Linked DNA regions of Oryctolagus cuniculus. The protein of the gene in region 2 interacts with the protein of the main gene of each other region in a pairwise test. Links are inferred from orthologs where the notes say so. Each region holds a gene or a part of one and is shown on either strand. Other genes may lie near its edges. The genes, in order: QKI, RBFOX2, heterogeneous nuclear ribonucleoprotein F, ATXN1L, HMGA1, MAGED1 and PSMF1.

Evidence for each region.
Region 1: the proteins of RBFOX2 (region 2) and QKI interact in binary tests that used the Homo sapiens proteins (3 or more experiments, as listed by UniProt). The link is inferred for Oryctolagus cuniculus from reciprocal best matches to the Homo sapiens genes RBFOX2 and QKI.
Region 3: the proteins of RBFOX2 (region 2) and heterogeneous nuclear ribonucleoprotein F interact in binary tests that used the Homo sapiens proteins (3 or more experiments, as listed by UniProt). The link is inferred for Oryctolagus cuniculus from reciprocal best matches to the Homo sapiens genes RBFOX2 and HNRNPF.
Region 4: the proteins of RBFOX2 (region 2) and ATXN1L interact in binary tests that used the Homo sapiens proteins (3 or more experiments, as listed by UniProt). The link is inferred for Oryctolagus cuniculus from reciprocal best matches to the Homo sapiens genes RBFOX2 and ATXN1L.
Region 5: the proteins of RBFOX2 (region 2) and HMGA1 interact in a two-hybrid assay, tested with the Homo sapiens proteins (2 studies listed by BioGRID and IntAct, with this or other methods). The link is inferred for Oryctolagus cuniculus from reciprocal best matches to the Homo sapiens genes RBFOX2 and HMGA1.
Region 6: the proteins of RBFOX2 (region 2) and MAGED1 interact in binary tests that used the Homo sapiens proteins (3 or more experiments, as listed by UniProt). The two-hybrid records come from large-scale screens. The link is inferred for Oryctolagus cuniculus from reciprocal best matches to the Homo sapiens genes RBFOX2 and MAGED1.
Region 7: the proteins of RBFOX2 (region 2) and PSMF1 interact in a two-hybrid assay, tested with the Homo sapiens proteins (2 studies listed by BioGRID and IntAct). The two-hybrid records come from large-scale screens. The link is inferred for Oryctolagus cuniculus from reciprocal best matches to the Homo sapiens genes RBFOX2 and PSMF1.

Annotation. Positions count from the first base shown.
Region 1 is NC_091436.1:5,326,196-5,330,361, reverse strand, and holds the start of QKI (KH domain-containing RNA-binding protein QKI), read left to right. Parts: upstream 1-1,366; 5' UTR 1,367-1,736; coding exon 1,737-1,878; intron 1,879-4,166. UniProt on the Homo sapiens protein: RNA reader protein, which recognizes and binds specific RNAs, thereby regulating RNA metabolic processes, such as pre-mRNA splicing, circular RNA (circRNA) formation, mRNA export, mRNA stability and/or translation.
Region 2 is NC_091442.1:113,493,836-113,497,821, reverse strand, and holds the start of RBFOX2 (RNA binding protein fox-1 homolog 2), read left to right. Parts: upstream 1-1,186; 5' UTR 1,187-1,655; coding exon 1,656-1,841; intron 1,842-3,986. UniProt on the Homo sapiens protein: RNA-binding protein that regulates alternative splicing events by binding to 5'-UGCAUGU-3' elements. Prevents binding of U2AF2 to the 3'-splice site.
Region 3 is NC_091446.1:59,592,951-59,597,093, reverse strand, and holds the start of heterogeneous nuclear ribonucleoprotein F, read left to right. Parts: upstream 1-1,343; 5' UTR 1,344-2,512; coding exon 2,513-3,760; 3' UTR 3,761-4,143.
Region 4 is NC_091449.1:55,391,938-55,396,127, forward strand, and holds the start of ATXN1L (ataxin-1-like), read right to left. Parts: upstream 2,801-4,190; 5' UTR 2,659-2,800; intron 795-2,658; 5' UTR 733-794; intron 1-732. UniProt on the Homo sapiens protein: Chromatin-binding factor that repress Notch signaling in the absence of Notch intracellular domain by acting as a CBF1 corepressor. Binds to the HEY promoter and might assist, along with NCOR2, RBPJ-mediated repression.
Region 5 is NC_091436.1:135,099,464-135,103,476, forward strand, and holds the start of HMGA1 (high mobility group protein HMG-I/HMG-Y), read right to left. Parts: upstream 2,801-4,013; 5' UTR 2,642-2,800; intron 2,379-2,641; 5' UTR 2,267-2,378; intron 1-2,266. UniProt on the Homo sapiens protein: HMG-I/Y bind preferentially to the minor groove of A+T rich regions in double-stranded DNA. It is suggested that these proteins could function in nucleosome phasing and in the 3'-end processing of mRNA transcripts.
Region 6 is NC_091453.1:36,330,556-36,334,051, reverse strand, and holds the end of MAGED1 (melanoma-associated antigen D1), read right to left. Parts: intron 3,474-3,496; coding exon 3,359-3,473; intron 1,284-3,358; coding exon 906-1,283; 3' UTR 898-905; intron 711-897; 3' UTR 501-710; downstream 1-500. UniProt on the Homo sapiens protein: Involved in the apoptotic response after nerve growth factor (NGF) binding in neuronal cells. Inhibits cell cycle progression, and facilitates NGFR-mediated apoptosis. May act as a regulator of the function of DLX family members.
Region 7 is NC_091442.1:27,071,565-27,075,064, reverse strand, and holds part of PSMF1 (proteasome inhibitor PI31 subunit), read right to left. Parts: intron 2,953-3,500; exon of another isoform or gene 2,612-2,952; 5' UTR 2,597-2,611; coding exon 2,468-2,596; intron 1-2,467. UniProt on the Homo sapiens protein: Plays an important role in control of proteasome function. Inhibits the hydrolysis of protein and peptide substrates by the 20S proteasome. Also inhibits the activation of the proteasome by the proteasome regulatory proteins PA700 and PA28.

The DNA.
Region 1 (4,166 bases), on a different chromosome or scaffold from region 2:
ATTGGAGGGTGAGAACCCCGCGTTCGGGGTTCAGACGCGGCGAGCTCCGCGGGGCTCTCCCAGCCGCCAAGCCGGGTCTGCACCGCGAGCTGAGCGGACACGGTCCGCAGGCTCAGCGGCCGAACCGGGCGCCCCCGGACTCCGCGGCGGCCGCCCCGGACGAGCCCCGCTGACGGGCTCCGAGCGGCCGGACATCACCGACCCGTCGGGACCGCCGCCCCCGGCCCAGGCCCCCGGCGCCGCTCCCCGGGCCCCGCGCATTCTCGGGGTTCCGTCCCAGCAAATCGCGAGGGGCGCAGAGGACGAAGCCGACGACGGCAGTGGTCACGCGTGGCTCCGCCGGCGGCTGAGGCCGGGGCAGCGCGGCACCGGGGGCTGGGACGTTCCCGGCTGCGTTCCCACCAGAGACCCGAGGGTCTCGGCGGCGCTCAGACCGCGGCCCGCGCGCGCCCGACGGCCGCCGGTGGGGCACCGGGACGCCCCCCGCACGCCCGGAGACCCCGCGCCCGGCCCCGCCCCCACGCAGGCGCGCTCCGGGCCTCCCCTCCCCCGCCGCGCGCCCGCCGAGCTCGGCGGGGGCGGAGCGACCCCCGGGAGGGGCGTGGACGCCGGGCTCGACGCGCGCACGCGCGCTGCAGCCTCACAGCTACGTGTCGGGCCACGTGACGCCCACCCCAAAGTCCCCCGTGAAGCAACAGGACGTTAGAAAGATTTCTCTTCTGGGGGGGGGGTGGGGGTGGCGGCTGGGGGAGGCTCAGAGACTGGTTTGAAAAAACTACAGTAACGGGCGGCCCCGGCGCGTCGTGGCGCGTCCCGCCGGGATTCCTCTCGCCGGCCGCGCCCGGGCCCGCAGCGGCGGCCGCGGATCCCGCCACCCGGCCCCTCCCACCCGGCAGCCCCGCACCCGCCCCTCCCGTGGTCGCGCCCGCACCGGGCGGCCACCCCGTCCCGGCGTCCAGGCCCGCGCGCGGCCCCTCGGGCCCCGTCCCGCCGAGGGACGCGAGAGGGCGGCAGCACGGCCGCGGCCCGGGCCGAGGGGCGGCGGCGGCGGCGGCGGCGGGAGGCGGGAGCGCGCCGGCCGGGCCCCGCTAACGGCCGCCCTGCGCGGCCCCGCCCGCCGCCCGCCCCCGGCCCTCCCCGCGCCGCCGCCCCTCCCCCCGCCGCCGCCGCCGCCGCCGCCGGCAGCGCCGCCTGAACTGAGGCGAACTCCGCCGCCAAGTGAGTGAGGAGGAGGAGGAGGAGAAGGAGGAGGAGGAGGAAGAGGAGGAGCGCAGTCAGAGCGCGGCGGCAGCGGCAGAGGCGCCTCGGCGGGGACCAGCCCAGAGAGCCCCCGAGCCCGCGGCACAGCGGCGGCGGCGCTGAGCGGGCGCGACCGGCCCCGCGGACGAGCGAGCGAGCGAGCGAGCGGCGGCGGCGGCGGCGGCCCGGCTCCTCCGCGGCCGCACTCGGCCCGCCGAGACCCGCCTCCCGCCCGCCGGCCTCGGGAGGGACGCGCCGAGCCGGGCGGCGGCCGGGAGCGCGTCGGGCCCGGGCGGAAAGTGCCTGCGGGGGGCGGGCGGGCGCGCGGAGCCGGCCGCCCCGGGGCTCGGCGCGGGAGCCAGAGCGGGAGCCGGCGCGGAGCGGGACGCCGAGTCCCGAGCGGCCGGCGGCCGGGGCTCGCCCCCGCCCCTCCCTCCTCTCCGGCGGCGGCGGCGGCGGCGGCGGCGGCGGGCGGAGTGAGCTGCGGAGCCTGGAATATGGTTGGGGAAATGGAAACGAAGGAGAAGCCGAAGCCCACCCCAGATTACCTGATGCAGCTGATGAACGACAAGAAGCTCATGAGCAGCCTGCCCAACTTCTGCGGGATCTTCAACCACCTCGAGCGGCTGCTGGACGAAGGTGAGCCGCCGCCCCGGCCCCGGCCCCGGCCCCGCCGGGCGACCCCTCTTCCCGGCTCGGGATGGTGGCGAGGGCGGGAAGGTCACGGCCGGGCGGGACCGCGCGCCCGGGGGACGGGAAGCCGGGGAAGGCGCACAAAGGAGGACCGGGCCGGGCCGGGCTCGCGGCGGGCGGGCCGGGGCCGGGCGCACCCGCCGGGCAGGACGCCCCCCGCTGGGCCGGGACTCCTCTCCCCCACCCCGCTGCCGGCGGCGCGCGCGGTGGAGCGCTGGGAGAGGCTCCTGTGGCTTTGGGGGTCCCGTTTCCGAAAAGCGGAGTGGGGCTGCGCAGGCCCGGGGGCCTCCCCGACCCTCCCCGAGAGCCAGCCCGGGCCGCGCCGCCAGCCGGGCGGGCTCGCGTGTCCCTGGCCCGCCCGCTCGGCCTCGCGTCTCCCCGTGCCCGCCCGCGGGGCGCACCCCGGCCTCGGGAGGCTTGGGTGGGCTCCGCGGACGGGCGGGCCGCGCGGGGTCCCCGTGCGTCTGGAGTTTGGGTGGCCGTGTGAGTACGGGGGGGGCAGCGGCCCGAATGACAGCGGGAGCGCTCCCGTCCTTTTGTTTGGGGGAAGCGAGAACTGTTAGGGAGTTCGACTACACTTTTGGGGGGTGGAGCGCCAAGTCCCGCGATGACAGATGGGAGCGGAGTCCCGAGCCGGGCCCGGCCGCCCGCGCCGCCTCGGCCGGGGAGTCGGGGCGCCGCGCAGGGCCGGGGAGCAGCCGGGCAAAAGTTTGCGGGGCCCGGAGCTCGGCGAGCAGGTGGCCGCCGGCCGGCCGTGCGGCGCGCCGAGGGGCTCGGCCGCCCCGCGGAGCCCGTGGGACCCGCGCAAAGTCCGGGAATGCCGTGGCGAGGAGTGCGTTTTCTGCGAGCATCCCGGAGAACTGTGTGAAGAAGCGGAACGCTGTCGGCTGTGCCGGGGAGGAACAATAGGTTTCGGGATTTTCAAGAGAACTTGGAGATGTTAAAAATAGAGCCGGGGGCCGGGGCCGGGGCCCGCAGCTGGAATGTCAGTCGGGAACAAAAGGCCGGAAATGTCTGCGTGAGGAGGGACGCGCGCGCAGGAGCGCGGGCCGCTCGGGCCGCCGGCGCCGGGGTCCCCGCACACCGGGGTCCCCGCGCACCGGGGTCCCCGCGCACCGGGGCGGGACCTGGCCGCGGCCGGGGCCGAGGTCTGCTCGCCGGCTCGCTCGGGAAAGCCCGCTGTCTGTCCCTTTAAGGGGCCCTGCCTCTCCTGGTTGTGTTGGCATTTGAAAGATTGTGGAGGCAGAAAACTTTCTGGAATGTCACACACACACAAAAAATGCAGGAACTCTCAAATCGAGTATTTCCGACTGTGAGCGCTAAGGGGCGCCAGTTATTATTTATTTCTAACCAAGGAAATGTTTGGAGCAAAAATACAGTCAGGTCTGACCTGCGTTAAATTTAGTTGAAACTTAAATTCCGTATTATCGTTTTATGTAATTCTGTCCATGAATGTCTACACATATGGAATGCATTTTGTTTAAAATTATTGACATAACTATCATGGTTCCGGGATAGGACTTTCTTAATTTTCTCCTTGGAGTATTTTGGTAAAGTTATAGTAGTGTTAGTAGTAATTTCCAAAGATAGTGTTTCTTAAATGCATTTGTTAAGAAGGAATCTACGTAGTAGGTGTTAAAATGAAAATAGGCCTTGACAGTATTTTGAGTTGATTAAAATTGCGTTTTTGAAAGTTGAATTCCTTCAAACAGCATTAGGAAATTATAAAATTGGAAATATTTTTACCTCATGTGTACTATTTAAAGGCTAAGTAGTTTGAGTTTGACTAGTACTAAAAAAGTTTCCTACTTGTGCCTTTTCACTGATCTAAAATCGCTAAATAATTTGGAGTTGGATTCCTGTTAAATTTCTAACCTTTGGCCTTAGTAGTAATTAATCTTTCAAACCGAGAAATTTCTGTCGTCACTATCTCTAAAAGATTTGTTTTTTTTCTGGTTGGTAATCGTAACTGTTTTGAGTTTGGAGAGTAGAAAATCCCTAGTTTAGTTGATGATGTTCTAAAGAACTGTTTGTTTGCCCTTTAATGTGGCTTACTCCAGCTCGCTGACTAGTTTCAGCCATTCCGACTGCCCGGGGAAAGGGTGCTGCTGTGTGGTAGTGGGGGTGTTCAGAACAGACGGCATGATGTCAGGAAACTTGATTGTTTTATCAGATCAGTACAAACCTGCAGGAAGAGGGGCTATTCCTCAGTGTGGAATAAGCTGCTTCCTGTA
Region 2 (3,986 bases):
CTGGGACTGGCATTGTGGCAGGGCTGGTTAAGCTGCTAGTGACGCCAGCATCCCATATTTGGTTTGAGTCCCTGCTGCTCTGCTTCTGAGCTCCCTATTAATGTGCTGGGAAAGCAGCAGATGGTGGCCCAAGTATTTGGACCCCTGCTATCCATGTGGGAGACCCAGGTCTCCTGGCTTTGTCCTGGCCCAGCCCTGGCTACTGTGGCCACTTGGGGGAGTGAACCAGTGGAGGGAAGCTCTCTCTGTCACTGTGCCTTTCAAATCAATCAATCAATCATAAAAATTGCCGAATTTTACAAATGATCGAGCTGAGGTTCAAAGGGATGAAGTAACTTGTGTAAACTAGATAGCAAGTCCAAGGCTAGCATCTAGGTCATACACACATCATTTTATTCCTGGGACTTCATCTACAGGGCACATCATGGGGTGAGAGAGAAAACTCATTGTACACATCTCCAGCCACACAAAGTTGATAAGCAATGAAGTGCCATTCATGCCGCAAGGTGCTAAGAAAGTGAATCGCGAATATGACCCGGCGGCCTGCGATCTGGATCTGCCACCTTGGAGACCACGGTCTCCATCTACCCACCAGCCTCAAAACGGGTGTGCACGCACTATGCAAACCTTAGAGCTCTTACACGCATCGGAGATAATTAAGATCACCAGCGATATAATAATTACGATTAGAGCGGAAGCTCTCAGAATTGCAGAGCGCCACGCAGGAGCGGCTCCGACCCTAGACTCGAGATCCCATTCTTCTATGGGAGGCCCCACCCCTAAGCAGAAAGAAGGCGGCTGGACAAGCGAACCGAGGACACAACTCCGAACAACTAGTCCAGCAAACCGGAGCTGCTTCCCAGCCCTCAGGCCTGCCCCAGGCCGACGCCCCGCCCCCAGAGGCGGCAGGCCCCGCCCCCGCCGCGCCGCGCCTCCAGGCCGATCCCGCGCCGGGGCCGGAGATTCCCGAGTGTCCCCGAGCTCTTCCCGGCCTCCCTCGGGCGGCGGGCGCGGAGGCCGCGGAGATTGCCGAGGGGCGCTGGCCACGCCCCTTCGGCGGGCTCGCCGCCGCCGCCGCCGCCGCCGCCGCCCCCTCGCCTCAGCCTCCCGCGCGGGCGGGAGTCGTCCATCCCGGTCCCTCCTTCCCTCTTTCTCTCTCCCCGCCTTCCCGGCGCTGCCACAGTGGCGGGTCGGAGGATCCCGGCCAGTCAGCTCGTCCCAGCCTCGCGCCCCTCCTCTCCCCCCCCCAAATAAACAGCCCTCCCCACGCCTCGGGAGCCGGACCGCCCCCTTCCTCCCTCGGCCGGCGTGCGGTGAGGGAGAGTGCGAGCGGCCGAGCGCGGGCCAGCGGCCGAGCTCCGGGGGCGCCAGAGGCGGCGCGGCGCGGCGGGCCGGCCGGGCGTCGCGTGTGCGTGCCGGGGCGCGAGCGAGGGCCCGTCGCGAGCCGCCGGCGGCCCCACGCCGACGACCCCGAGGAGCGGCGGGCGCGAGCCAGCCGCGGAGGGGCGCCGGGCCCGCGCGCGCGCACGCACGCACGCACGCGGGGGGCGGGGGCAGGCGCGCACCCGCCTGTCGCGACAGTCGGGGCCGAGGCCCAGGGGGAGGTGGCCTGTCGCAGGTCGCCCGGCTCCCGGAGGCGAGGGGGGCGCGGGCGGATGGCGGAAGGCGCCCAGCCGCAGCAGCCGTCTCAGCTCGGGCCCGGCGCCACTGCCCGGGGCATGAAGCGGGAGTCGGAGCTGGAGCTGCCGGTGCCCGGAGCGGGAGGAGACGGAGCCGAACCCGGCCTGAGCAAGCGGCCGCGCACCGAGGAGGCGGCGGCCGACGGCGGCGGCGGGATGCAGGTGACCGCGCGGCTCGGGGCGCCCCGTTATCGCGGGGGTGCGGAACGTGCCTGGCGGGGGGGGCGGCCCGGGCTCCGGGGCTTGGAGAGGGGGAGGGCTCCGCGGGGTCCCGGGGGGAGGTGGGCAGGGGCGGGCCGGGGCCTTCTTGGAAGCTGGGGCGAGCTCGGGTACGGCAGGATCCCGGGGTGCTCGGGAGGGTCCTGCGTCGATGAGGCTTTTGGGGGGAGTCGACCCTGGGCGGGTTGGAGTCCACGTCTTCAAACCCTGCCTTGGCTTCCGAGGGTGGAGTGGAAGCTGGGAAGTCCTGGGTGTGGGGTTGGCCCGGAGAGCCGCGGGGCTGAGTGGGGGGCGAGGGGGCCGTGGTGGGAGCCTCTCGAGGAGGAGGAGTGCCTTTTTGGCGGCCCTCGCACACCCTGGGCTGGGGTAGGGGAGCGGCGTGTGGACGAGAGAAGCGAAAAGCGAAGAAACTCCTCGAGAGAGCCCAAAGGGGATGTGGCTTGGGTTGTGGGTTCAATCAGTTCCCCAGTGAGTGGGAGGCGCGGGGAGACCGCGGGGTGGCGTGGGCACTGGGGTGCTCAGCCTCTTCACTTTGCGGCTCGTGCGGTTGAGTTTGAAGAGAGACACGGGACAGGTCTCTCCTGTACTTAACATGGTTAGGGCACCGTATAGCTCTCTCTTCATTGTCCTGGGGTATCAAAGGGAATTTATGGGCTTCTTAGAAGCCTGGATTCTGGCTTGTGGACCCAAGGATAAGCGGGCCGATTTGAGTCGTGAGTGGGAGAGGTGTGGATGGCGCCAGCTGAGTTTGGTAGGTTTTAGGATTTGGTCTCTGTTCGGGCATGCTTGCTATGAACAGGTGAGTGGGACTGGCCTGCCACCCGTTATTTTGACATCTGATTCTCTTGGAATCATAGAACGTTAGGAGGAGAGGGACCAGAGGTGACATCTTTTCCAGGGGCTGTTAACCTGGATAGACTTGGAAGATTTTTAAGCAGAATAGTTGATATGCACTTTTTGCTGGAGGAGAATCAGTGGTTTTTTTTTTTTGGTGGGTATTGAAGCCCCTGCATGTTTTTAACTACCTCGTTTTATAGAGGGGGAGTCGCAGTCCCAGGACGACCATCTGCCTGCCTCTCGCCCAGTAGCGGCCGGGAGTCTAGAACCAGCAGTGTGGCCTTCTGATTCCTGTTCCTGGGCTGTCTCCATTCCACCAACTCTTGGAAATCTCTGCTGTGCTAGAAGACTTCCTGTGCTCCCTCCCTGCTCGGCGAGGCTCTGCCTGACTTCCTGTGTTGGAGCCCGAGCTCTGCTTAAGCCCGGTGTGCGTGCCCTGCACCTCTCCCTGTCCGTTGTGGAGTCTGTCCTGTTACCAATGTTGGTTTGGGTAACGTGACCCTCTTGCTGTTTATTTTTGAATTCTTTTCTTTGCCTGCTTCCATTCTCCATTAGAACTCTGGCAAGGAGGAGTAAAACTCATGGCCATGGAAAATAGAGAGGCATACCAGGAGACTTCAGGTGCGGGTGGGTTGCCACTGGATGGAAGGAGGGAAGACTGGGCGAGGTGCTGTTAGTGTGTGCCTGTGCTCTGTGTGTGTGTGTGTGTTCAGTCGTAGTTGGCACGGTTGGACCTGGGGTCCATTATTTGCTTGTTGCCTTCAAACCAAGAGCAGTGGTATTTGGGTATAGAGCAGCGTCTGGGGACTTCGCGGGGTGGGGGTGTGCAGAGGAAGGCGTGGATGAGTGTGGGTGCAGATGGGCAACCTGGAACTGGCACGGAGAATACTCTTCTCACTTTATACATTGGCAGGTTGGAGGTCTGGCACACCGTGGCACGCCGGTGTTCCGGTCATTGATTCTGCCAGACTGCTGTATGGGTTTAGGGAAACCTCTTATTTTGGGGCTTTTGTTTCCCTGCTTGTGCAATAAAGTATTTGTACAAGGTGATTTCTGGAAACATGTAAGTCAGATTCCCTGTCCTTAAGGTACGCACAGTTAAGGTGTGGAGACAAATTGGTGAAAGAAACTGTGTGTGTGTGTGTCTATAAATTCAGTGTTCCTTTACTCTTGTAACTAATCTTTATTGAACAGCTGTTGCATGCCTGTCAGGTTTCTTTTTTCTTTTTTTTTTTTTTTTTGAGATTTATG
Region 3 (4,143 bases), on a different chromosome or scaffold from region 2:
GCATAATTATATGGATACTATATGATAAATATATACTTATAAATAATTTGTGTAAGAAATCTTCAAGCTTACAATGTTTCGAAGTTTACCTTAGTTTGTAAATGAATGCTACTTTGCCAGCTCCTTGTGATCCAGGATAAATAGTGAATGTTTATGGTTCAGTTGTGATGTCTAGGGTGATCTATTATGAAAATGTATACATAGGTTTAAATGAGTGAATAATATATTTCAACTAGGAGGATACAAAAATAGCAATATATGCAGCTTGCTTTATTTTACCAAACAAGTCCATATCATAGTTTTAGTAGAAAATTTCATTAACATCTTTTTATTAAACTTTCTGTATTTGTTTAGTTTGATGAAGTCATTAATAGTGTCCAGATGAAAAGGTTGCAAATTCTTGAAATCTCTTGTATTTCTTGCTTTAAAAAGGACCTTAATTTTTGTCTATAAATACATCTGTTTTCATAAAGGTACCTGATGATTATAGTACGCCATTTGACAACTGATGACCTTATTTGATTGACCTGCTTGTCAAAATAATTTATTCTACTTGCTGAGCTAAGCCTTTCTTTGCATTTCACTCATAATCACTATCACTTACTTTAACATTTAGAGTAGGCCTTCCATTGTACTTTCATCTTTTTATCATTTTACTACTATAAAAATAATTCAATACTTTTTAACTCTTGTGACTTAGTTATTTGGTGAATAACCTTAGAAAAATTTCTGAACTTTTATGAGATCATTTTTATCACACGTGATACAGACACTAGTTAATTCTGTAGACCAGAAATGAGTATGAAAGGTCCTGTTTCAGACTTGACTTGTTGAGATAGGACCAAATGAATGGCTTTTGTAAGGTGAAATGGATACCTACGTAATCAGGAGGTAACTATATATATATATATAAAGAACATAACCAGCTTATTAAATACCATTTTAATTTAATGCCCTCTGAGTTAGGCACAGTGGTAGGTGTGGGGAGCAACTGGGAGCAACTCGGACTAGACTAAGTTACTGGAATTAAGACTTATTCTATGCATCTGCTCTCCCACAATATGGCGCTGAGAAGGGAAACAGCTTCTACACAGCTGCCTCCAGTTCAACCAATAAACTGTAGGACCTGCTCCTGATTGGAGGAGAGCAGCGTACTCGGCGTGTGGGTAGCAGAGTTGGGATTGGTGGAAGAGGACTATAAAGGAGGAGAGAGACAACATGCACCAGGAACATCTATCTGAAGGAACACCTGAGCAGCCCCCGAGAGAGCCGGCCGGCCGGCGGTGTGCCGCTCCCCCGCTGAAGTGGGGAAAGTGGCAGGGGGAACCGCCCTTCCACGGAGGTGGAAGGGTCGGTAGCCAACCCGGGAAGAACCAGCAGCAAACCCGGGGAGGGCCGAGCAGACGAAAGAACAGCGCAGGGTCCTGTGTCGTTCCTCCACGAAGACGGGGAGCGACAGTAGGCAATTCACACACATCACGTTGTTCAAATGAAGCAGGGGGATATTTGCAGATCAAATAAATGCAGAGTTCTACCTGCTGCAATAAAAATTATAGTTAACCTTTATTGAATATTTTACAATGTGCCAAGTACTGTTTTGGTGTATCTCCTTTAATTCAGTCCTCATTATAGCATTATGATTATGATTCCTATCTTACAGAGGAGGAAACTGTGGCCCATTAAATTTAAATAACTTGCTCAAGACAACAAGAGAAAAATAACACTTTTGGAACTTAGTACTATAAAAGTTAGAATAGCTTTAACTATAAATAGCTTTCAGAAATGTGTAGATGAGCCGGCACCGCGGCTCACTAGGCTAATCCTCCGCCTGGCGGCGCTGGCACACCAGGTTCTAGTCCCGGGCGGGGCGCCGGATTCTGTCCCGGTTGCCCCTCTTCCAGGCCAGCTCTCTGCTGTGGCCAGGGAGTGCAGTGGAGGATGGCCCAAGTGCTTGGGCCCTGCACCCCATGGGAGACCAGGAAAAGCACTGGCTCCTGGCTCCTGCCATCGGATCAGCGTGGTGCGCTGGCCGCAGCGCGCCAGCCGCGGCGGCCATTGGAGGGTGAACCAACGGCAAAGGAAGACCTTTCTCTCTGTCTCTCTCTCTCACTATCCACTCTGCCTGTCAAAAAAAAAAAAAAAATGTGTAGATGAGTTCATAGGCTTATAACAGGTTAATAAATGAAGTTGAGTGTGTCAACATCTTTCATTTTTAAAAATGATTTATTCCGTCGTGGAAGCAGGATTGCGCCGCGTCTTCCTGAAGAAGGTTAAGAACAAAAAGATGCACCTGGAGTTTGCCTGGAGCCCTCTGCGCGTCTAAGCTCGGGTGGGATCTGGGGTCCTTCGCTGGAAGCCGCTCTTGCAAATAGAAACCAGGCCAGCTCTCCTCAGTGGACAGTTGGTTACCTACCAGAGGTGTCTCCTACTGAAGGTATCCTTGGCGATACTCTAAGCCATAAAAAGACAACTTGCACCCAAGTTTGTCTGACATCTATCCTGTCAAGTGTCCATGATGCTGGGTCCCGAGGGAGGTGAAGGCTTTGTGGTCAAGCTCCGTGGCCTGCCCTGGTCCTGCTCTATTGAGGACGTGCAGAACTTCCTGTCCGACTGCACGATTCATGATGGGGCCGCAGGCGTTCATTTTATCTACACTAGAGAAGGCAGGCAGAGTGGTGAGGCATTTGTCGAACTTGAATCAGAAGATGATGTCAAAATGGCCCTGAAAAAAGACAGGGAAAGCATGGGGCACTGGTACATTGAGGTGTTCAAGTCTCACAGAACCGAGATGGATTGGGTGTTGAAGCACAGTGGTCCAAACAGCGCTGACACCGCTAATGATGGTTTCGTGCGGCTTCGAGGACTCCCGTTTGGATGCACAAAGGAAGAAATTGTTCAGTTTTTCTCAGGGTTGGAAATCGTGCCAAACGGGATCACTTTGCCTGTGGACCCCGAGGGCAAGATTACAGGGGAGGCCTTCGTGCAGTTTGCCTCTCAGGAGCTAGCAGAGAAGGCGCTAGGGAAGCACAAGGAGAGAATAGGGCACAGATATATTGAGGTATTTAAGAGCAGTCAGGAAGAAGTGAGGTCATACTCAGATCCTCCTCTGAAGTTCATGTCTGTTCAGCGACCCGGGCCCTATGACAGGCCTGGCACAGCCCGGAGGTATATTGGCATTGTGAAGCAGGCAGGCTTGGAGAGAATGCGGCCTGGTGCCTGCAGCGCTGGCTACGGGGGCTATGAGGAGTACAGTGGCCTCAGCGATGGCTACGGCTTCACCACTGATCTGTTCGGAAGAGACCTCAGCTACTGCCTCTCAGGAATGTACGACCACAGATACGGAGACAGCGAGTTCGCAGTGCAGAGCACCACCGGCCACTGCGTCCACATGAGAGGGCTGCCATACAAAGCGACCGAGAACGACATCTACAACTTCTTCTCTCCACTTAACGCGGTGAGAGTGCATATTGAGATCGGCCCAGATGGAAGAGTGACGGGCGAAGCTGATGTGGAGTTTGCCACCCATGAAGAAGCTGGGGCAGCGATGTCGAAAGATAGGGCCAATATGCAGCACAGATACATAGAACTCTTCTTGAATTCCACCACAGGGGCCAGCAACGGGGCCTACAGCAGCCAGGTGATGCAGGGCATGGGGGTGTCTGCGGCTCAGGCCACCTACAGTGGCCTGGAGAGCCAGTCAGTGAGCGGTTGTTATGGCGCTGGCTATAGTGGTCAGAACAGCATGGGTGGATATGATTAGTTTTGTAGAAGCATTTGAGTTAATTTCAATCAAATTTTCAGAGGCAGCCAGCAAGCAGTGAAAAAGCAGTTATTACCCTAGAGGAAGCTGTGGGACCCATTTTGCACCATGAGTTTGTGAAATCTGGATTAAAAAATTACCTCTTCAATGTTTTCTCATGCAAACTTTTCTTCTAGCATGTGATATTGAGTAAACTAAAACTATTTTCCGCTTTTCTCGATTAACATTTTAGTAGTATCCTTCCGAGTGATGTTATCTGAGTTAAAGTAGTTTAAGTATGTTAAATTGTGGATCTTTTACACCACACCACAGTGAACACCTTGGGGAGATGTACTTTTTTGGAAAACTCAAAGGTGCTAGATCCCTAATTCAAAGAGAAACAT
Region 4 (4,190 bases), on a different chromosome or scaffold from region 2:
TTCCACCCAAGCCTGGCTCACCTCTTGTCCTCCTTTGCCTGATATCTCCAGGTCCTCAAGGACCTGGGTGTCAGTAAGGCCTGAGGTTTTCTTGTCTTTTTTTTTTTTTTTTCCAAAGCCTTGCTCCCTAAACATGCTATGAAACATAGTATCTTCTTTGCCCCATGAAATACTGCATTCTAACTTGGGCAAAATGGGAAGAGTGATTATACTAGTTTAGTCTACAACTTGTTTCTCCTCCTCCCCAAGTAGCAACAAAACTGTTATGACTTCACATAGACTTCCCTTCCCCTGGTCTAACAAAAATTATTTTCTTCTCACTGAACACCTTCAATCTGCCTTCTTTATTCACTCCCTTTGTTCCTCTGTGTTCTCTTTTGCCAATGGCTCCTTTTCCATTGCAGACCTGCTCTAGGGCCCACTTCATAAAATTCTGGTTCCACTCCTCCAAATATGCCTGTTTCTTTCTATCCTAGGTCTATAGGTTTCATAACAAAGTTCTCTTGCCTTCCTCTTACTGTCACCTTTCACAAACGCTTCTATCCACTATCCAAAAGCATCTTTTTGGTCTGAACACTTCAATGCACATGAACTTTGTCACCTAATTATTCCAATCAGGCTCCCATTCTTTGGCTTTGAAAAGAGCTTTCTGTGATACTACATTCTGTTGTTTTTCCATTGTGGCATCCCAGATGTTTTTCTGCAACAAGGAATCCAAAGTGCCTGGATTACCTGAGCTCCCCCTGGTGCTTCTGAGCAGCTGTAATGAGTGTCCTCCCGGGTGGCTTGGGAGCCTAGAAGACGAAAGAGAGATGGAATAAGCAGAAGCCTGACCTCTGAGCCTCTCCAGCGTCATCACTGAAAGGTCATTCCAATGCCACAAAGACATGAAAGTCACAATGAGCTCTCCTCTCATCCTCTTCTCCAGAGGTAGCAACAATTTATCCAGAGAGCCAGGGCAGCTGAATAGAAAAAAGGCCATCTCATAAACTCTAATGACGTCTCTGGGAAAAAAATGCCCATCTGTCAAACCTCACTGTTTTCCCTTAACATTATATTCTTTATTCCCTGCTTGTGCCTACTATCCGAAGGTTAAATTTACTTCCAATCCAAAGTTCAGTTAAACGCAGGAGACTTAACATTGTTCCAATGTTAACAATGGGCAGCAAGGAAAACCAATTCCACGGACTTTACCTTTACTCGGGATCTATAAAAACAGATTTGATGGTTATTTAACTGAGAAAAGATGCACCAGTAGAAAAAGAATTTTGTTTCTGGGGCAGAAAAAGAGGTCAAGGGGGAGTCACTCAAGGGGAAAGCCTTATTAACAAATTTTCAGATTTTTAAAAAATGGGCTCGTGTGTGTGTGTGTGTAAATTTTCTGTGTGACAACGTTACACCAAGTGATGAATCAGGTGTGATGGAAACTGAAAACATCACCTTGATCCTCATGCAGCTAACAAGGGGGAAACAAAACTACCACTGAGCTACCCATCTGTGAATGCACACTCGCCAGAAAAGGTACAGCACTGAAGCCCGCGGAACAGAGAAAGCAGTACAGATGAATTCTCAGAAACTACCCACTGTCCTGTCCAGCTGCTACAGAACCCTGCAAGCCTCGACCCAAACGGAAGGCAACATTTCTGTCTAAAGACTGGCACGGCGCTGGCATACAAAAGAGTGGCAAGATGGGGAACCATGGGAGAGAACCAAATCCCCAATCCCACAATACACCGTGGGCACAAGTCATGCACCCTTCTCTGCCGGCAGCTTCAGTAACTGAAGAGCACTTCGCTTTTTCCCATCTTTTCCCCATACAAACTGGGGTCACATCTTTAAATCTCAGAATGACCCTTGCTCTCTCCAACTAAAACGTTCAAGAAAACCTGCTTTTAGGTCACGAGGGGTTAGCAAGCACAAATTTTAAAAAATGAGAGGCAAAAGGTTTGCGGGAAGGATAAATAAAAAGTCTGTGCGCCGGGGCTGCACGACGCAGGACACATTTCAGAATCTGAAACCTTGGCCTCTGATGGCTCAAAGGATTTCTCAAGGGGAAGACAAGCTTGTCACCCCGACTGAGCTACCGGGCAAGGAGGACCGTTCCGCAGGGCTGCCAAAGCAGTTAGGAGAGCTGGGAACGAAGCCCCTCATCACGCTTTTTGGAAATCCAGAGGCTGAACCCAGCCAGAGTCCCGAATTCGCAGAGGGCAAGAGGTGAGCCCGACAGAATGGGAGAAGCTTGGAAGAAACGAGGGGATATGTCTTCCCGCGATCCCGCAATCCATGCTCCAACACGAGTAGGGCACCAGATCGGGAATTCTGCGTTTACAGAGTGGAGGTCGACCCTTCAAGCAAGGTTGCAGGGGCGAGGCCACGCAGGCGACGCTTCCTTGTTTGGCGGCCCCCTTCCCGCCCCGCAGACTCGGACAACTCTGGCCCGCGGAGGTACAGCCGGGGGGGCTCCGCCTTCCAGGCTGTGCCGTAGAGAAGCGGGCGGGGGTCTAGGCGCGGCCTCTTCGCTAACTCTGTCCGCTGTGCTCGGCCCCGGCCCGGTGAGGCAACGGGCTGCTAGGGGCCACTTCCTCTGGAGCTCCGAACCTAGGCCTGCCTGACCTCAGGGAGGCCAGCCTGGCGGCCACCACTCCTGGCGACACTCACCGGCCCATCTCACAGCGCTCCCAGGGCTCCTCCCGCTCGTCCCGGAGCCGCCGCACCCGCGGCCGCCGCCATCCCCGGCCCCGGAGCCGCCCCACACCCAGCGCCCCCCCCAGCCGGGCGCCCGGAGATGGCGTCAGCGCGTCCCGCCCCCGGCGCAGAAAAATTACGTCACGGCGCGGGCCAGAGAGCGACGCAGTGGTCTCCCGGCAGGGTGGGGTGGGTACCGCTGTTCAATCGCACATCGCTGCTACTCTCCCATCTGGTGGGAAAACAGATTCCAACCCCTGGGACCTGTGAATAGGGCTGTGCTCTGACCCCACTCCCTGACCCCACAATAACCCCGCGATCTTTACACCCCAGTAAATACTGGGGGGTTCCCAAAAACAACGACTGGGGCGTGGCCATCAGTGACCCCCATTTCCTGGACTTTCGGTCCTGCCTAGTGAAGCCTCCCCTTGGGAACCTCGGGGAATCCCTGAGTGACCCAGTCCAGGAAAGCGAGGCGATCCCAGACTTGAACGTTTGTGAGGAGTAAGAAGAATGGGGTTAGTACAGTGGGAAATAACTTGACTGAGTGGGAAGGTTTGACTACTCGACGAAATCTTAGATTCCCATTCATTCCGAAGTAGTAGATTTCATAGTAACATGAGCCTATCACTTAAATGAAAACGAAAGTGGTTGTATTTGTGTTTGGATTACTGCTGTAATTTTTTAAGTAGCTATTAATATTTTCTGAAAACGAACTAAGAAATTTTTGACTATTGGAGAGACAAACTCTGTTCAATAGATAACAATTAATCTTTGTTCAATTTTATAATTAGTGGCGGAGGCAGGCGTTGTGACCCAGGCACCTGCATCCCATATTAAAATTCCAGTTTGGCTCCTGGCTGCGTTGCTTCTGACCCAACTTTCAGCTAATGCATCCCAGGAAGCAGCAGGTGGTGGCTCAAGTGCAAGGCCCCCAGCCAACCACTTGGGGGACCTGGATGGAGTTCCTGGCTCGTGGCCTTGGTCTGGTCCAGTACTGGCTGTTGTGGGCATTTGAGGGAATGAACTAACAGATGGAAGCGCTCTCTCTCTCTCTCTCCCTCTCAATCTCTGTGTTGCTCTACCTTTCAACTAGATGAGAATAAACAAACGTTTAAACAAACAAAATACTGCTGGGGAAAAAAAAAGTACTGGCTAGTTTCTGGTCCCTAATATGTGGCTATCTGCATTTTTACCACATTAAGCCTCAGTTTCCACTACTGCAAAAAGAATAGGAGTAAGATCTAGATAGAAGAACTTATCATCTTGTTAAGGGAAAACAAAAGCCAATATTGTGAATCATTTATTTAATGTTAAAAGAGTTGCATATATTTATGTATATGTAAATAAATAGATATACAAGAGGGGAAGATACATAACTAGTTATCCTTTCTTCATTAAAAAAAAATCCCAAATTGGAAGACGTTCAAAAACAACTTAAGTTATTGTTTGAATTTTTATAAGAATAATATCTTAGATATTTAAAAATTAGTAAGATACAAATA
Region 5 (4,013 bases), on a different chromosome or scaffold from region 2:
GTTCGGAAGGGACCAGGGAAGATGAGACGGTGGCAGCTGCAGCAGCCACACACAGCGACTCTGTGTGCATCTGGCGGGGCTCAAGCCTCAAGGACCACCACTCACACAGCCAGGGCTGGTGCCCACCCACCAGGTCTCTGCCCTGTCCCAGGGGAAATCCTTGAGGACTCCAAAGATGGGGACAACTGAGGGAGGAAGATGGTGGAGCCTGCAGCGGGCGGGGTGCGAGGAAAGCCTGCTGGGGGTCTGATTAGCACCCCCCTCCCCCCGCACACACCACGATGAGTTCACCTATCCCTCCTGGAGCAGGCAGCATGGGCCAGCCCGGTCAGCAGCCCCAAGTGGACCTGGAAGCCTGCAGCCACCACCCCCTGCCTGCCCCGCCCCTCCGTCTGTGAAATGCAGGCAATGCTAAGACACCTGTCTCCACTGCCTCCCCACACGGCTTTGGGGCTCCAACTCAGAACAGTTTATAAAAAAACTGAAGCCTCAGAAACCTTCTATCGGTAAATGACTTCTCTTCCTCCTTTGAGAGATTCTGAGGCAATTTCCAATTTTAACCCAGGAAAGAAAAAACATTTTTGCAAACTTGCGATTTTTTTTGAGGACCCAAGGCCCCCACCCCTCAAGCACAGAGCCCCTCCAGACGGCGGGACTTTGTCTGGTAATTACCCTATTTTATATCTCAGACTGGGAGACCCTTGCAAACAAGGTGGTTGATTTAGCCTGCTCCGTCATTAGTGGCTTGGCCTGCTCTGTAATTACAGCCAGTGATTAGAATCTTATATTACACCACAGGCCCCCTTCAAACTAAACATCAAAATTAATCAGCTAAATGAGTGCTGACCTCACATAAGGTCTGCCCAGGGCCCCCTCGCAGGGGGGGTTCCAGTTGGGCGAAGCTGGCCCGGAGTCCCCCGAACCTCTGATGGCATGGGGTGGGTGCCTGCCTCCCCCCTACCCCACCCGGCCAGGCCCCCACGAAGTCCTGAGGCTCTCTCTAGGGAGGCCAAGAAACGTTGGTCTCTATGCCACCTGTTCGCGAACATCAACGAGGCCTGGCCTGGAGCAGCCACGTTTCGGGGCCAACCCCAATCCCTCAGCTTGTAGGAAGCCCACTCGGGTCCCAGGCTCCTCCAGCGCTTAAAGGCCCTGCAGGAATGACCCCAGTACCTCATCTTAGCAGTCCCTTTTATTCTGCATAAAGGAAAAAATAAAAAAGTAGCCCAGAGAAGCCTGATGAGTTTTCCAAGGTCACACAGCAAACTGGCGACCCTCCCAGCCCACCGGTGTGCTCTCCCAGCTAGCGGCTGGTGAAGACCCTGTCGGCCCTTGCTCCAGACCCAGGCGGCGTCTGCAAGTGCCTGCGCCGGGCCGTTGTGGGCAGACCGGCGGGAGTCGGGGCCAGAGCGCGAGGGGGAGGGGCGCAGGCCGTCCCTGCAGGCGCGGGAAACGAGCGCACCCCGGCCGCATGCACCGCCACGCGGGTGCACCCGGCCCCACTTCCTGCCAGAGGGGGCACCCAAGCCCGCCCCGGGGCAGGAGACCTGGCGCGCGCTGGCGGGGGACAGGAAGAAAGCCCCCTCTCTGCGCCCGCCCCGCCAAATAAAACCCCAGGAAAACAGAAACGGGGAGTCCAGGGGACTAGTTCCAACAGAGCCCAGCAAAGCAGAGAAACCAGTTTGTGGGGGCGGAGGGCAGGCCCGGCCCTGGGGGCTGAGGAGGCGCAGCTCGGGCCAGAGGTGGGGTCGGGGTGAAGCCCCAAATCCAGGCCGGGCAGCCGGCTCGTCCCGCGCAGGGGGCGAGAGCCCAATCTCGGGGTTCCCGCCCATCCCCCTCACTTCCAGAACTTCGTGCGGCTGCGGGGGGCGTCCGAGCCCCCGCACGCCCGCCGCAGCCCGGCCTCCTCCCCGCCCCCCACCCCCGGCCCCGGCGGGAGCGGCCGCCGCGCGAGGTGCACCGGGCTCCGCCGGGTGCACAACTCGCGCTCGCCGCAGCCGCGCGCCCCCTCCCCCACCGCGCGCTTGCCTTCCCAGGGTCCCCGCCCCCCCCCCGCAGGGCGCCCGCGGCGCGGGGGAAGGGGTGCGGGCGTCCTCCCCGCGCCGCCGGGCCCCGCCGCCCGCCCCCGCGCCGCGCGGCCCTCCCCCGCCGCCGGCTCGCGCCGCCCCGGCCTGGGAATAAAGCCGGCGGCGCGCGCTGCAGCCCCGGGCGGGGGCGCGGGCGCCCCCCTCGGCCGCCGCCGCCGCGGGCCGCGGGGACGACTCACCGCGAGCTCGGCCGCCGGCCTGCGGTGCGCGCTCCGGGGCTGCCGGGAGCGACGGTGCTGGGCGCTGAGGACCGGCCTGGCTCCGCCGCCGCCGCTGGTAGCAAATGCGGATCTGAAACCGGGAGAGAGGGCAGAGGCGCTCAGAGCCCGCCGCCGCCGCGTGCTCGCCGCCCAGGCCCCCGCGGGGTATTTATATGTCACATCCAGCCGGGGGTGGGGGGGTGGGCAGGAGTCTCCCCCCTCCCCCGAAGGATGGCGAGGGGCAGGAAGCCGGGCACGGCCCGTGCGCGGCCTCAATAAATAAATAATTTAATTAAATTATAGATATATTTAAAAAAAAAAAAAAAGCAGCCACCGGAGCGGCCGCGAACTCACGCCTTCTTGGAGCCGCGCCAGCGCCAGAAATAGCCCCGGCTCGGAGTCCCAATTAGAGGAGCGCAGCCCCGGCTCAGGGGAGCTTAAAAAGAGCGACCCAGGGGCAGGGGGGACGGGCCCGCCCGCGCCAGCCGTGTCACCGGGGGGCGGGGCCATGCAAATGAGCCCGGGGATTTAAAAGGGCGGCCGCCCGCCAGCCGCCGCCGCCGCCGCCGCGCGGGTGGGTGCTAGGCTGCTGTGGGGGTGCGCCCAGTCACGATCCACTCCCCACAGTCCTAGGGGGAGCAGGGCGCCGAGCAATCTCGAAGGGGCTTCTGGCGTCGGGGCGGGGGGCGGGGGCGTCCTCACCGTCTGGAACCGGAGTCCCGGGACAGTCACCTCTAGGGGCGCTCCGGGCGTGTGCGCCCCGCCGTGGGGGGTGTGGGTGGGCCTTCGTGCCCGCGGGGGTCCACGCGGCCGGAGTGGGGCAGAGAAACGCGGGTGTGGGAGACTTCCGCGGCCTACGCGCCGCCCCTTTCCCTTACACCGACGGCCTGCGGATTTCTCCAGGCCGACAGGTGTGTCAGCATGTGCGTTTCAGTGACATCCCGCGCGTGACTGGCGGGTGGGGTACCGTCTTGTGAAATGCAAGGTGTTTAGATTTTGTTAACGGCCACACGCGAAGCATGACCAAGGTCCAGCCTTCGAGCGAGACACAACTGGCTCGCTCGCGGGCTGGACCCGAGCGGGGCGTCACTCCCTTTGGCGCCCTCCGGCCGTTTTGGAAGCACGCGGTCCCGCAGTGGCCCCCAGATTTCTCATCTGCCGTGGTTTAAAAAAAAAAAAAACAACAACAACAAAGGGTTGGGCCGGCGACGCCTGGAAGCGCTTTGCGGGCAGGGTCTGAGCTGACGCGCGCCGTCCGGGCCCGCCGCGCCGGGCTCCACCGGGACTTGTTGCGCTGAACGAGGAGGAAGCCAGAGCGGGAAGATGGCGGTGGGGGAAGAGAGGGCAGGGTCGGAGAGGGGAGGCGCGCCCTGCAGGCCGGGCCGCGGCCCTGTCGGGCGCACCTCCCGCGCCCGGTCCCCGAGGCGGCCTTCCACACCTCCTGTGAGGCAGGGAATTGTAATGCGGCCCAGTGACACACGGCAGTGACTCATGTTTTTCTTTGCTCCCCTTCTTCCTCCCTGGTCAGCGAGGCCCAGGCCCAGCCCCCTCCTCAGGGGGCGCGCGGAGGGGCGGGGGCGGGGGTGGGGGGGCGCGAGGAAAACCCGGAGCCCGCAGTGGGGGCGGGGTGGGGAGCCCGAGGGGCCGGGCCTCCAAGTTTCAGGAATGTTTCAGGAATGTTTCCGGTGGGGGAGGGGGCCGGCCCCCACCCCGGGGCCGCGGGGGG
Region 6 (3,496 bases), on a different chromosome or scaffold from region 2:
TCACAGAACAGACTTTGGCACCTACTCTTGCTTCCAACCTGAAGTTTTTTCATTTTCCACAGTAAAATCAACAGTCCAGAATCCCAGGCCCCTGACCCTTCATTCTCCAGGAACAGCCATCTCTCCTCTTCAACTATCCATTCCTTACACCTTATCACATGTAGTTAGTTCTACCTCCTCTGTCTTGTCTTAAATCAAGCCTTCTGACCACCTAGACATCCCTTCATTTTATGATTTCTCTCAGTGTTACTTCAGGACATTCAGCAACATATCTATCATATGATTCACTTAAATGATGCTCACTGAAAAACTACACTAATTTGTAGGCCTTATTAACACTTCATTAATTCCTCTTTTTTTCCCCAATCCATTAGCTTGATCTACCCACATCTCTGCTGAAATCTGATCCACCCTTCAGGCTATAACTAAGGTTCCACCTCTCTCATTAAATATGCTGATCTCTCCCCAAACACAGAAAGAAAAAGGGGGAGCACATCTAATTCACTTTGCAATTTCAATGTTTATTTCTGATACCAAAACTTGACAGCACACAAGGAAAAAAAGCAATAGACAAGGAACAGCAAATAAATTTATCTTGCATGCCACTTTCAGTCAACAGGATGTGGCTCTCTAGATAGCTGTGTTTTAGAAGGAATCTGAGACTTCAGCCTCAATTCAGGGGAAAGACTATTGCAACCGATGAGCAATATCTGTGAATATAAGAAAGAAAAAGTGGAAAAATCAATGATATGTATCTCAAATAATAAGGAATATAAATGCCAAATAGTGCTGCCCTACAATTCCCTCATTTCCTCATCACAAATTTCCTGACTCCTAGCTCATGCACATAATTATAACCCCCAAGGACTCTATCAATTCAAAAAGAGAAATACCTACCAAACAGTTTATTCAACCCAGAAGAATCCAATGGCACCAAAATTGGCAGCAAAGTTGGCACTGGCTGTGCCACCAGGACCAATGATGGGGCCAGCAAAGGTTTGAGGAAATCTGGAGCGGGCATTCTGGTGGTATCTGGCCCAGAAAGTAAATGGAATCCTGGACCAGGGATCTCCAAAATCTCCTTCCTCATCCCAGGTCAGCAGCTCAAATTCAATGTCATCCCAGCTCCAGGGCCCAGATACAGCTTCATCTCCAATCCCCATGCGGGTTCTTGCTTCAGCCCGGGCTTCGGCCTCAGCTGCAGCAGCATCCAAAGCATCCAAGGCCTCATCTGCGGCCTCCATAAACTGTGCAGTCCAGTCACGAGGGTCTCTTTTCTGAACCTGAGATGAGGAACAGAAAACAGAATCACACCTATTTACAATGACTAAGATACAGAATCAACCTAAGCGTCCATCAATGGATGACTTGATAATGAAGGTGTATATTTAAAAGATAATACTATACAGCCTTTAAAAGGAAGAAATCCTGCTATTTGTGGCAGCATGGATGAACCTAGAGGCCATTATGTTAAAGTGAAATAAGATACAAAAAGGCAAATACTGCACGATCTCACTTATAGGTAGAATCTGAAAGAACCGAACTCTTAAAAGCACAAAGTGTAACAGTCACCAGAGATTGTGGAGGTGGGGAGACTGGAAGAAGGAGACACTGGTTAAAACATGCAAAATTTAACTTAGGATGAATAATGTCTAACACATGATTACTATAGTTAATGACAATGTATTGCATACTTGAAAATTGCTGAGTACATTTTAAATCTTGTCATCATAAAAATGCTAAGTATGTGATCTGGACAGCTAATCAGCTTCATTTAATCATTACATAATGTACACATATTACATACACATACTCCATAATCTATAAAAATTACCAAAATACCACCTTGTATTCCAAAAATGTTAAATTTGATTAAGTGAAAAAAAACAAAAAAACACTTAAAGATAATGTTGTACATTATATACATTATGTCAACAAAACTGTAATAAAGTTGGAAAATTAATGAATAAAAATATTAAAAATCCAACCCTTAACAGTATTAGTTAATATATACGAGGGTATTTAAAAATGCTCATGAAAAAATGGAATTAAGAGGTAAGTTTAGGGGGCAGCATTGTGGTGTAGCAGGTAAAGTTGCTGCCTGCAATGCCAGCATCCCATATGGCTGCTTATTCAAGATCCAGATGCTGGACTTCCAATCTAGCTCCCTGCTAATGTGCCTGGGAAAGCAGTGAAAGACAGTCCAAGTGCTTGAGCCCCTGCACCCACATGGGAGACCTGGAAGAAGCTCTTGACTCCTGGCTTCAGCCTGGCCCAGCCCTGGCCACTGCAGCCATTTGGGGAGTGAACCAGTGGATGGAAAATCTCTCTGTCTCTTCCTCTCTCTGTGTGTAACTCTGACTTTCAAACAAAAAAAAAGAGAAAGATAAGTTTAGGTGCTGGCATTCTGGCACAGCAGGTTAAGCCACCACTTGTGATGCCAGTATCTGATATCAGAGTGCTGATTTGAGTCCAATCCAGCTCCCTGCTAACGTGCCTGGAAGACAATAAAGATGGTCCAAGTTCCTGGGCCCCTGCCACCCTTGTAGAAGACCTGGATGGAGTTCCTGGCTCCTAGTGTCAGCCTAGCCCAGGTCTCACTGTTGCAGCTCTTAGGATAATGAACCAGCAGACAGGAAATATTCTCTCTCTCTCTCTCTCCCCCTTTCTGTCACTCTACCTTTCAAATAAAGTCTTTTAAAAAGAGAGTGATAACTTTAGGGGCAAAAGCTGTGGCTTAGTGAGTTAAGCCATCACTTAGGAAGCCCTGAACCAACTTTCTGCTAATGCATCCTGGAAGCAGCAGATGATGGTTCAAGTGTATGGGCTCCAGACACCCACATAAGAGAGTCAGACGCGGCTTCTGGCTTCCAGCCTTGGCATGACCCAGCCCTGGCTGTTGTGGGCATTAAGGGAGTGAACCAGTAGATGGAAGATCTCTCTTTTTTTCACTCTGTCTTTCAAGTACATGGAAATAATAAATAAAGAAGCATTTTTAAAGAGAGGTAAGTTAATTTTGGTAAAAATTTTTTAAATCCAGTTTTTCTGTAATTCTCATTTTTCATGAACTTTTTGAAGATCCCTCGTTATACATGGTATTCAAAACCTTTCTGCACCAAAACAAACATATTTTAATTCCATCTTCCACCCATTTTTGAAATACCATTGTATTAAGCACCTAATACATATTAAGCCCCCTATTTTTTGTTATTGCTTATATAAAAACAACAATAAATTATCACCAGTAATGCAGCACCTACCATGTGCCATACGAGGATCTCATTCCTGTTCTTGGCCTCTCCCAACCACTGATACCTCATCTCTTGACCTATCAATTCTAGAGCAGTTCCTCCATTACCTCTGCAATGAATCTCAGCACTTTCATCTTGCTAGTCTCATGATAGGAACGGAGGCCCCAGAGGAACTCATACTCAGGAGGGTTGCTGTTGGGCACTCGTCTGTAGTCCAGGTATCTGAAAGAGCACAAAATGTCTTT
Region 7 (3,500 bases), about 86 Mb from region 2:
TATTTAACTGCTGACACATAGTCAAGAACAAGCTCTTGGGACCTTCTTCCCCTCTTATCACCCCCAGAAGGGTGGGGAGCAGGAGGTAGCTGGAGGCAACACAAACATCCTCTGAACCTGGCACACACTACCGGTCTCAGCCCAGTGTGCTGGCCCCAGGCTAGAAAATTAAACCTGCTCTTTAATAAACTAACAGCAACGATGCCTCTCCAACAGCTTCTGCTCCAAACGAGAGCAGACGTGGCAGAATGGAGAGATCAGCGCAACTGAGCCTCGTGGTGCTTGAGAAAAGGCCAAACGCAGCAAAACTACACCACAGTCTAGTCTGTCACCTAAACACCCATGGGGGGATGGGGGACAGTAGGCGAGGCCTTCCAAAACCCCCATCCCCCAGGCTCCTTGGCCTCCCCAAAGTTGTCACATCTTTTTCTGGCCTGCGGAGCCCCACAGCACATAGTACCAGGAAAAGAGAATTACATGGACCTTTGGGAATTGGTCAAGGATATTTATTTTCAGGAAAACAATATTAAAAACGAGATTATATTCTTTCTGCACATTTTACCTACAATTCTGGGGGCCTGGGGTGGAGGGCAAGAGGAAGATGACAACTGGAAAGAAGCACTCTCCTGTGTGAACAAACCCATTTATATAAACTGTCAAAGTGAGATGGGTGCTGAGGAAATGCGAGGGGATGGGCGGCGGGGGCGGGCCTGCAGCACTGATGCGTACCTGTGGCAGGTACTTCTACACAGTCCCCGGAGGAGGGCCTGGGGTTCTGAGAGTGTGGCAGAGTGGAAGCAGCCAGCTGGGCGTGAGGAAGGAGTAAGGTCTCTGGAGAGGGCTAAGGGCAGGGCAGACCTATTTCTTCTGATGGACAGGGCAAAGGGCAGGGGGAGCCAAGGACCGATGGGGAACATCAAAGTCAAAACCAAGTCACTCTACAACCCCAGCGCCCCGTGCACCAGCCTCCACACTAGCTCTCTGGGAGAACTTTCCGGGGCCAGTGAAAGGGCTGGCAAAGATCAGAAAGCCAGAGTGGGGCAAGTAGAGACGGTGTTTGTGTTGGGGAACCAGGCGTGAAGGGGAGCCTGACACTTGGGGGAGGGGGCTGTCTCCAGCTGGTCCCAACGTCTAAGATGCTGAAAGGCACGGTGAGTGGAAAAAAGTGCAGTGTGATGGGACAGAGCAGGGATGGGTGCGTTTGGGAAGAGACGGCTTCTGCTCTGTGTGTGAGAGTGAGGCCGGCCCTTCTCTTCCAGTCTCATCTCCAGTCTTAGAGCCCGCGTGAGGACGGGGTCTGTGTGAACCTGGAAGTGGGCATGGGGATGCTGAGTGTGTCCCAGGGGCCCCAGTGAGAGACCTGAGGCCTGAAAACCAGGAGCCAGAAAGGCACGCCGGTTGTTGATTCTCGCTGATGGAGGCAAGGCAGGAGTGGGTATAGTAGTTTTAGGCTTTGGTCACAAGGGGTAGAGAAGAATGGGGACAGCACTGGCAGGGGTTAGGAGCATAAGCTGGCTAAGTGTGCACAATGCATAAAGCCAGTTGGAGGGAACCCTAAAGCTGTGTCAGCAGAGGAAAATTAGTTAGACTGTGACGAGAATCTGAGAAACTACAAAAGGATTAGAGGACTCCAGAACTAAAGTTAGAAATGAAAGGAAGGAAGAAATCCCACCACAAGATCTAAGGTGTGGGGTGGCCTGCTCCTCAGAGTCGCTCCTGGGTGCGACAGGGACAGGACCCTGACAGGGAGGGGCGGGCCTGGGGCTCTCAGTGCCCAGAGCTGCTTAGGAGAGGAGTGAGTGGAGTGTGGCTGCAGGCCTTCCAGATGGAGGAGCCAGGAAATGACAAGGCAGAAGGGGCCAGGCCTCCGGCTTTGAAGAGGCAGAAGGGGCTGGCCATGTTGGGAGGCACTCTTACCCAATTCTCACACCAAGGGGTGTGTGTGTGTGGAGGGGTTTCCCTGAGGCAGAGGCTGAGCTGCAGGGGGCAGTGGCAAGTGGACGGGCCTGGGTCCTTCAGCAAAGGATGAAGGGCGGGTGCGCACTCTGGGCCCCTGCCCAGGGGTGCAGAAAGGGCAAAGCTCACGCCCGTACTTGTGCTTGGATCCGGATGCCTGGCGCGGGCCAGTACTGGGTGTGCTGTCCCACGCGCCCCACCTCGCAGCTCCGTGGTAAGGAGTTCACAGAGGGGAGCAGGTGGGTGAGAAGAACCCTGGGGGGCGGCCCCTCTGTCTCGGTGCGAGGCCCGTACACTCCAGGTCTGGGAGACTGCCGGGCTGTGCTGAAACGAGTTGCTGTCCTTCAGTTTACAAATCAATGTCGCACCAGCTGTTAGGAGGGGCGCCGGGCTGGGCTGGCACAGCTTTGCCATGCCCCGGGGAGGGGGGAGGTCAGGGGCTCTGGATCGGGCCCTGGGCCTCCGGACAGAGGACGGCTCCCACTCCACCCCGGCGGGCTCCGCGGCGTACCTGGTCGCTGGCACCCACGCCGTAGTAGCCGTGGGTCACCACCTCCCAGTGCAGGAAACAGATGAGCGCGTCCTGTGTGCAGGTGATGACCGGCGCCACCGAGGCGAATAGTACTTCCAAGCCCGCCATGAGCGTCCGCAGCTTCTGCGGGGAGAGGAGGGAACGGGGAGAGTGCAGTGAGTTGGCGTGGCCCCGCGACGAGCTCTACCTCGGCTCCGCTTTTCCGTAGCTCTGCCCGGGACTCCACCAGCGCCAAAATGGAGACGCCCAGGGGTGGGACGCAGCTGCCGGAAGTAACTGCAAGCGCCGGCGCAGCGGCGCAAGGCGCGCCGGACGGGAAACGCTAGCGCGATGCTGAATGGTTCCTCCAGGGAGCGCGCGTGCAGGAAGCGGCGCTTCAAAGCCAGAGTCTCCTGAGCCCCTCCACAGCCCTCAGGGTCTGCTACAGCCATGGCGTTGCGACCCTGAGGAGGGAACGCTTCCCTGTGAGTCACAGTCTCCCTATCCGCAAATGGGGGAGTGCTCGAGTGCAGAAGAAGCTAGAGAATATGGCCCAGGAATAGTCGCAGTAACTGTTAGCTCGTGTGCCGTGCCGTGCCTAGACGCTTTACTTGTGTTCACTTACTGAACAATCCTAGGTAGTTGGTATTAGTGTTATAATCATCTCACAGACGAGGAAGCCGAGGCACAGAGGGACCATTTGACCGAAGCAACGCAGCCGTCCAGCGAGTGGCCTGGATGGTTCTGGAAACCCACAGTCTGGCTCCTGGGATAACCTTTATAAGTGTTTATTGTGAGCTGCATCCTGTACCAAAACCTTTGCATAGCTCCTTCAACAACTATGCGAGGGAGTTCCATTTTTTCCATCAGCCCGTTTGGCAGATGACAAAGGGTTGAAGCCGCTTCTCCCAGAAGCCTTGGCTCTGCCCTCAGAGCCAAAACTCCTGACCCACTACCGAATTTCAGTCATTTCTTTGCCTCTCTCCTTCGTGATTTCTATCATTTCTTGAAGTCCGGTCAGTGCTTTTACTCA